Canis lupus familiaris: one gene and its partner. The protein of the gene in region 2 interacts with the protein of the main gene of each other region in a pairwise test. Links are inferred from orthologs where the notes say so. Each region holds a gene or a part of one and is shown on either strand. Other genes may lie near its edges. The genes, in order: RGS17 and HOXA1.

What was found.
Region 1: the proteins of HOXA1 (region 2) and RGS17 interact in binary tests that used the Homo sapiens proteins (3 or more experiments, as listed by UniProt). The two-hybrid records come from large-scale screens. The link is inferred for Canis lupus familiaris from reciprocal best matches to the Homo sapiens genes HOXA1 and RGS17.

Annotation. Positions count from the first base shown.
Region 1 is NC_049222.1:43,600,415-43,604,222, forward strand, and holds part of RGS17 (regulator of G-protein signaling 17), read right to left. Parts: intron 884-3,808; exon of another isoform or gene 880-883; coding exon 780-879; intron 1-779. UniProt on the Homo sapiens protein: Regulates G protein-coupled receptor signaling cascades, including signaling via muscarinic acetylcholine receptor CHRM2 and dopamine receptor DRD2.
Region 2 is NC_049235.1:40,366,144-40,370,665, reverse strand, and holds the start of HOXA1 (homeobox protein Hox-A1), read left to right. Parts: upstream 1-1,488; 5' UTR 1,489-1,785; coding exon of another isoform or gene 1,786-2,435; exon of another isoform or gene 2,436-3,804; coding exon of another isoform or gene 3,805-3,917; exon of another isoform or gene 3,918-4,059; coding exon of another isoform or gene 4,060-4,178; exon of another isoform or gene 4,179-4,271; coding exon of another isoform or gene 4,272-4,292; exon of another isoform or gene 4,293-4,400; 5' UTR 4,401-4,456; coding exon 4,457-4,522. Other genes in the region: WAS/WASL-interacting protein family member 1-like, read right to left, coding at 1,786-2,435, 3,805-3,917, 4,060-4,178, 4,272-4,292. UniProt on the Homo sapiens protein: Sequence-specific transcription factor. Regulates multiple developmental processes including brainstem, inner and outer ear, abducens nerve and cardiovascular development and morphogenesis as well as cognition and behavior.

The DNA of each region.
Region 1 (3,808 bases), on a different chromosome or scaffold from region 2:
GGGCAGCCAAAAGCATGTTTATGAAGTGTTTAATGTTTACTTAGATCTATCCCATGGTCTAGGAATTCTGCGAAGTCATGTATCTAAAAGGGAGAGAATGAATTTTAGCTTTCCACAGGGCTAATTTCAGTTGTGGTGGGACAACTTCTCCTGAGGAGAATGAAGAATATCCAATGCAGTGGGCCAAATCTTGTTAACAGTGGTGTATGAGACTATTAATTCAATCTGAAAACTAAGAAGCTTTGGAAATGGTTCATATCAAACCTGGAAATGAAAAGTTTGGAAGTGTCATCTTCAAGTGGACAGAACAATGGACTGGATATTAAGAGACTTGCATTTTAGTTTCACTTCTGTCACTAATGAGCTTCTTGAAGGTAGGCAAGCTTCAGTTTCCTTATTTGGAACATCAGACACAGCATTTTCCAGACATCATTTTCTAACAAGGCCATTTTTTCTTCCAGCCAAAAGCATGGCGTGCCTGAGTAGTGCAGTCGGTTAAGTGTCCAACTTTTGGGTTTGGCTCAGGTAGTGATCTCAGGGTCGTGAGATCCAGCCCCGTGTTGGGCTCCATGTGGAGTCTGCTTAAGACAGTCTCTCCCTCTCCCTCTGCTCTTCCCCTACCCTCTCTCTCAAATAATCTTTAAAAAAAAAAAAAAAAAAGCTTATACCTAAGTCTAATATGTAAAATAGCTAGACAGAGCCATTCCTTTGGAAACTAGAAGCAGAGAGCCCAGGGCTGCAGATCCCAGCCCCAGACCCCCCTGGAGTCATCCCCTCACCTCCACCACACGGCATAAGAAGTCAATAGGACCATTCTGGAGAGATGAGAGCTGATGTCTCTTGAGTTCTGATTTTTCATGGTTGACCATGGAAATCTGTCTTGCTTGATAGGACACAACCAGGAAAACAAGAAATCAAAAAAGGGATGGATTAGCACCTAAAGATTTCTTTGAAAAACATTTTAACATAACCTCTGATGTTAGGAGAGAGCTCATGGGACAATTTGGAAATAGACATAAATTTTGAAGGCTCTACTTTCCATTTCCTTCTTGAGGCACTTTGCTTTCAGGAGCCCACAGCAGTTTCTACTTTGAGATGGCACACAGTGTGCCATCTACAGTGCATTGTGTGGCAGGGGCCTCACTGCCCTCTACTGTCCTAGAGATGGCAGTTTGGTGGAGAGCCCACAACTTTCAAAGACTTCTTTCTCATCAAGAAAAGGGAAGAGGGTTAATTACCTCTGTATGAATCCAGACATAAAAGGAATATTAAGTTTTCATAGTGGCAGCCTTGAACTTTTAGACAAGTGGTCTTGACAAAATCCTCTTTCCTTCTGGTCAGTACTAAGCATAGTCCCACATATAGAAGGACTTGTAAGTTTATACAGGGTTTATATTGTGGCCAAAACTCAGACCTCCGTGATTCATTCATGTTACAACAACTAACATGCTCTAAACCACATTCCCTTGTTTTCTCCCCTTGAAATGTAAGGCTGTGGGGAGAAAAGAGAAGTAGACTGATCTGAAGACAGAAGTGTTTCCTTGAAAGGAACAGAGAACAGATTGGCTTAACAAGTCATTACAGATTAAGTCTCAGCTTTTTAGACTTTGGAAGGAAACCGTGGAAATATTCAGCAGTTTTGTACTTAATCTCTATATCATCCCCCACCCCCAAAAGCACAGTGGTCATTTTATTACGACACAGTTAAGTTTAAATATGGGAGAGGAGCTGATGCTGAACTATGAAAGATAAATGCAAATTTGAGGGAAACACTATGATGTTGAAAAGATCCATAACATTGAAGGCCAGGGTGAGGTTTTGTATTTATTACTCGATATAGAAATTTACTTTCCTAGCATTTTATTTCCTTAAAAGGAGGAGAAATCAGCTACGTGACAACTGCTCCTTTTTACAAATGATAGTTACTTCCTATTTTGATTTCTAACTTTATTTTGGTCCCTAAGTTTAACATTTTTTAGTGTTTCTTTCTATTCTGCTCCTCTGACCTAGCCTGGAAAATTTGAAGAACATTTATTTCTTTTGTTTTCCCACTCTAATAAGGCTTTAAATATTTTTTCTTAAACCCAAAATAGAAAAATGATATTTTCAAAATGCATTTATTAAGGAGATTCTCATTTGCAATGAGATAACACTGTCACAATTAGAATCCATAGTTCAAGACGATTTTATTCTCATTTTTTTCAAGTTGTTTACATTAGAAATTACCTCTGATTTATCATATATGGAAGAGTTTATACATTTATAGACTGTGTGCTTTATGGCTTAGACTCAGGCACCCATGACTCATTGCTAAAAAACACAGTTCTCGACAAGGACACTTAAGTCTAGAACTCAGAGCCCTCATCCAGTGCACCAAATGTTTTAAGCTCAAATAGGCATCAACTCAGAGGTGTGGAGAGTTCATGCAGCTTCCAAAAGCTGTTTTGTTTTCCATCCATAGTCCGTTTTCTGTGACAATCTCATGCTCATGAGCTCATACTGAATGTTTTGTTAGTGTGTTCTTTAAGATTAATAAAAGCAAGTCTCACTAAATATATGCAGGAGAGGGAAAAAAAAGGAAATGTCGCCAAATAGGTGTTTGACAAGCAAATGAATATAGCGCAACACAACTTCCATACTCCTTATCTGTTTTGATGTTATAATCCTGAAGCAATTCAGAAATAAATTTTGGCAGGTAAATAAAATCATATACTGATTCCTGGAACATAGCCATAGTACAAATGAGAAATAGAAACATAATCTCCAACACTATGTAACAATATATTTGGGATGTCTCTTATAGAATCTAAAATAAACTAGCTTTCCTTTTGAAGATTAGTTTTTATATTATATTCATAAGTAGATCTTTAAAAAATACATATACATTATTTCAAGCGAGCTCCTCTTTAAGGAGATTTTATTTTCTCCAATATGAAGTGTTCTATCCAGTGAGCTAATTAATGCAAGAGAGAGAATGAGAGCGAAAGAAAGAGAGAGAGCACGAAGGCAGAGGTGGGAAGGTACAGAGGGAGAGAGAATCCCAAGCAGACTCCATACTGAGTGCAGAGCCTGATGCAGGGCTCAATCTCATGACCCTGAGATCATGACCTGAACCAAAACCAAGAGTAGGACGCTTAACTGACTGTGTCACCCAGGTGCCCCCAGTGAGCTATCTCTTAGATGCATACAATGTGTCAGGCACTGTTTTCAGCCTGTGTTTTATTTCATTTAATGTACAACAACCTGATGAAGTAGGGATTCTTATGACTGTAATTTGATATATGAGGAATTTGAGGACATTAAAATAACCTGTTGAAAGTCAAACAGATAGCGAGCATGAGTCAGGCAGTCTGACTTCCAAACCACCATATTAAGGCATTACGCTTTACTTCATGGATTCAGACCAAAGTTAAATGATCTCTTTAGGAGTGATAAAGGAAAAAATATTCACAATTTTATTGAAATATTTCCTTCTTCTAAAACTCTATTTCCTCCACCTGAAATAGTGAAGGCTTAAAAATGAAAGAAAAGGAGTCACTTATGACTTTCCTTAACAAAGAATCATCATCTGGGAAGCAGTTTTGATATTTATAAAAACTAAACCTTCCAAGTTACTAAAATGTCTGATGGTTTTTTGGAAATGAAGGTTCCTAGAAGGGATAGAGCTTGTTCAACACCAACACTACCACTAAAGCGTAGCACGTTTCATCTATTTTGGCCACAGTGATAGAATATTATGCCACCAAATAATACCAATAACTGTAGAGATCATATACAAGAAGATGATTCAAGCCTTTGGGCCTTTCTT
Region 2 (4,522 bases):
TAGGATGCATTGTCATGAGTATTTTTGGTAGAATAAATTCTCCTTTGCTATAAGTAGCTTCTTATTTTTTTCTCCCCCCTCTTTCTCAAGGCTCATAACGGTTTCTTTTTCTTCTTTTAGTCTAACTTGGTAAATAAAATTCTGGTCACAATCCATCTTCTTTTTCCATTTTAATATATTTATTAAGGGGGCATGTTCAAAGTCTTCAACAGACAACAACAAAAAAGAAAACCAGAAAATGGTTAGGACTTCTGAGAAGTGTTTTTTTTTTCTTTCCTTTTTTTCTTTCTTTCTTTTTAAAGGGAATGGATTTGGTTTTTCAGTGTAGAGGTTCAAGCCATAGATTTAAATTGGTGATAGAAACAGAATTGGGTAGCCCCAGAGCTGAGCCAAGCCCAAGCTTTTGAAAGTGGCGAAATAAAGTGCCTACAGAAACCCCCAACTCCAGGAAGGAGGAACATGGAGTTTCTTTAACAAGCTACCAGTCTTCAGGTCAATAACTAAGTTATCAAAATTCATTTATTTATACACATTTGTTTCAAACATCTACATTCCAACCCCTCCCCCACAATCCCGGAAACATTTTCAGTGTGGTTGATTAGTCTCCCAGCTGTTGATGGGTCCAGGCAAACAGACCTAAAAGGTAGAGAAAAACAAAAACAAAACAAAACAATGGTTACTAGCTGGAAAATGCACTTCAGAAAGGGTTCTTTCCAATCCTTTGGTTCAGTCATTCTAGGATTCTTTTTTTCAGGGTCAGAAAAATCAATATTTCATTCTTAAATCTGTTTACATGGCAAATAATGGATCATTAAAGCTGTGAAGTCAGGTTACCAAGTTGAGATTTTAAATGGAGAGTTTCTGCGCCCTAGGTTATAAATTAACCCAGTTTCTAGAAAGAAAGAGAACAAGCACTTTAAATAAAATATCAATAAAATGTGATCTAGGGCACGTTACTGGGTTGTTCTGGTTCTTTCCCCCTTCTTACATCTCCCCATGCTGATCTTTCCCTTACTGAGCTCTGCCGCGATGGCCACTTACCGTGAGAAAACGCAGCGTGTAAGCAACATGTGTGGGGGGCGGGTTGATTTAGGAGCCCGGCTCTTAATAGCTAAGGCTCGGAAGTTACAAAGAAATCGCGATCTCTCTCCATGGGTTTGCACCCTACCTTCCTCCACCCTTTTGCCCCCTAAATCCTGGCAGCGGCCGAGGCGTGTGAGGACCCGGGCGGGTCTCCAGCTCCAGGCGCGGAACTGAGCAGGGCGGCCCGGCCGCAGCCCCGGCTGAGCCGCTGCTGTTTGCGATTCGTCCTACGCTCATAAATCAAACGCTTTCTATGAATGAGAATGTCATCAAAGAGATCAATTGCAGGAACACATGCACAAATAAAAATCCTCTTACGTATTTGCCGGGGATCCCCGTCCGAAAGCATTAAGTTAGAAGGCGTTTAGTCATAATTCATTTTTATTGCTCTTTTAAAACAACAGCTTGGCTGAGCCGCGGATGCCATGAACAGCTCCGGGCCTCGGCAGCGTTTTGTCTCCTCCTTGCTCCTTTCCTTGCTAAGAGCAGAGCCCTGGAAGAGGCGCTTTGAGCCCAGCAAGCCGCTCGCAGGTCCTCGTTTAAATAGCGATCGAGCTCTCCTCTCGCCCACTCTCTCTCCCGGGGCATTTAAAGGGACTTCAGCTCGAGTCGTGGGGCGCTGGCCTACACGCCCCGAGGCCCAGGGTCTTCTGCAAGGCGGAGTGAGCCCCAGGATTTCGTGGGGGTGGGGAAAGAACCGAGCTACGGAAGCCTTACGGGCCCGAGGCCAGGGGAGCCTGCCTTTGTAAGCCACACCGGAGAGCAGCGCTCCGGGCGGCCAACCGGGGCGGAGCCGGCTGGGCTGCGAGAGTCCGGCGGGCCGGGAGCCGGGAGCCGGGAGCCGGGAGCAGTGCGCGGAGGTGGGTCGGTCGCGGCCCCGAGCGCTTGCGGGCCTGTGTGCAAGCGCATGCATGTGGTCCCAAGAAAAACACCCCCACCCGTGCTGGCTCTGGAATGAGGCCCGGAGGGAGGAAGAGAAGTGGAAGGAGTGGAGCGCAGAGGCCGAGAACTAGCAGAGGAAGGGGAGCGATTGCGGCCCGGGGCGCTTTGTGGCGCGAGCCCTGCGGCCAAGGGGGTTGCGCAAACCCGGGCTGAAGAAGCCAACAAAGGAGTGAGGCCAGGGGAAAGGACGTCCTTTGGTTCGGAAGGCAGATCGTCCGCAATGCCAGCACGGACCCTCTCACGTTCCACCTCCTTCCCGACAGGAGCCCCTCCTCTCCCCGTCGCTGGAAGCCTGGAGCTCCCAAAGAAGCCGCCTCCAGAAGGGCCGCCTTTCCTTTTCCCTTCTCGAAGATGAACGTCCCCAGGTGCTGAAATTGGGGCAGGAGTGACCTTTCCTGTCCATGCTCTCTCTTAACCGGGGTTGGGGATAGGTCAAAGGTCATTGAAAAATACCATTTCAAAAGGAAATGTTGGGGGGGAAATGTTTCTTTGCTACTGAGGGAATCCGTAGTCTGACTTCTGCAAGAGTTTCCCCTGGGGGAAGGGGCGACTTGGGAGGGGGGAAGCCTTCTATAAGTGGAGAACAGGATGGAGAACCCTGAAAGGTTGACTAACACACTTGAAATGTGCCTGCCTCGAGCAAAACTTTCTTCTTCTAACTGGGGAAGGAAAGCTAGAGGGGAGTGGGAACCCCATCCTCAAATTACTTTTATCTGTTCGATTCCGATGTGGTACACAGGGTCAGAGACAAATCTATGCTGCATTGGCTGCAAAGCTTCTTGGATGATCTCTGGATTTCTTTTACCTAAGAATGCATCAATCCTCGGTCTCAGTTTGGCATTTTCTCTCTACAAGCCAAGGGTTGACACGAAACCTAATAGTAAACAGCAATTAACGACCCCGTCAGCATCAGGGTAGGATGAGGGTGATGGAAAACAGGACCCCTGGCCTGGGATGACGCTCAGATTTGCACGTGTCTCTCTAGGGAAAGACTTGAAGGTTCACACAAGGAACTACACAGGCAGTTACAAAGGGGAGGAGGTGTTGGGGAAGAAGAAAATATCCCGTCCACCATCAGCCATCTGTCCCCCGCCCCTCCCACCTGCCAGCCCCTACCCCCCACCTCAGACGTGCAGTAGAAAGGGGAGGGGGCGGTCAGTGGATAAAGGAGGCCCTACCACTCCCAACATCCCCCCTGCAGAAAACGAGCACCGTTGCGGGGGGAGCTCAGCGTATTTTGTTGGAGCTGCGGGCTCGCCCTTTGAGGCCCCTGCCGGAGCGCGCAGACTCCTGGGTCCGGGGGAGCCGGCAGATGGCCTGCAGCGCACCGCCCGGCCCCCACGCTGGCCACGTCCGCTAGCGTCATCTTTCTCCCCCGCCTCCAACCCTTCAAAATCCCGCGGCCGAGCTGCTCCGGATCCCGTAGGGCTCCCGGAGCAAAGCCGAGTGGGGAGGAGAAAGGGGCGGAGAGCGAGGAGAGAGGGAGGGCGAAGAGCCCGGCCACCCCCGGCCTTTTCCGGCCAGCTGAAATACTACCAATCACCCGCTCCCGGGCGTCGAATTACAGAAGCTTCTCATTGCCTTGCTAATAATGTTAGGGTGGAGGGAGTAGGGTTCGGAGACCCTCCTTGGAGAAGGGAGGGTTTTTTTTGTTTTTTTGTTTTTTTTCTCCCTTGCTCTTGTCCCCTCCACGCCCACCTGGGGTCCTGCAGGCCAATCCTCTGCCCACTTCCCTCTCCCTTCCGAGCTTGAAGAGCTGGTGGCCCAGCCTCGTCCTACGCCACTGTCCCCTGGGCTTCTCGCTGCCCCGGCACCGCAGCAGGGACTGTGGACTGAAAAGCGCCCGGGGAGCTGCCGTTCCTGCTCCGCGCACGGCGAGCTCGGGCCCCGAGCTGGTGGCAGGGCGGCGAGCTCTGGCCCGCTGGTTCCCGACCCCGGAGAGACGGAGCCCTCTTCCCTTCTCACCTCTCGCCAGTTCATCTTTCTGTGCTCGGTGGGGAGGGGGCGGAGACGGGGATGCCTCCCAGCCCCCACCTCCCGGAGGGGGGGAGAGCGCAGTCGGCGCGCGCAGAGGGTGGCGGCTGCTCCCCTTCGGCCCAGCGCTCCGAATCTGCCCCTGCAGCCGCCGCAGCTGCCGCCGCCGCCTGGGCTGCCTGGGGGGGCGACTGCGCGTCACCTAGACTGAGCAGCGCCGGGGATTTAAATGCCACTGAAACGGTGATCCATCACCGCGGGAGCCAGCAAACTTTCGCAGGAGGCTCCGCCATTGGCTGGCGGAGTCACGTGCCCCTCCCCCTGCGCCCTCCGCCCTCGCGCCCCCCCTCTTGCGCACTGTACATTCATATCATTTTTCTTCTCCGGCCCCATGGAGGAAGTGAGAAAGTTGGCACGGTCACCCAGGGCTTCGCAGGACCCGGTCCCTCAGTGACAGATGGACAATGCAAGAATGAGCTCCTTCCTGGAATACCCCATCCTCAGCGGTGGCGACTCAGGGACC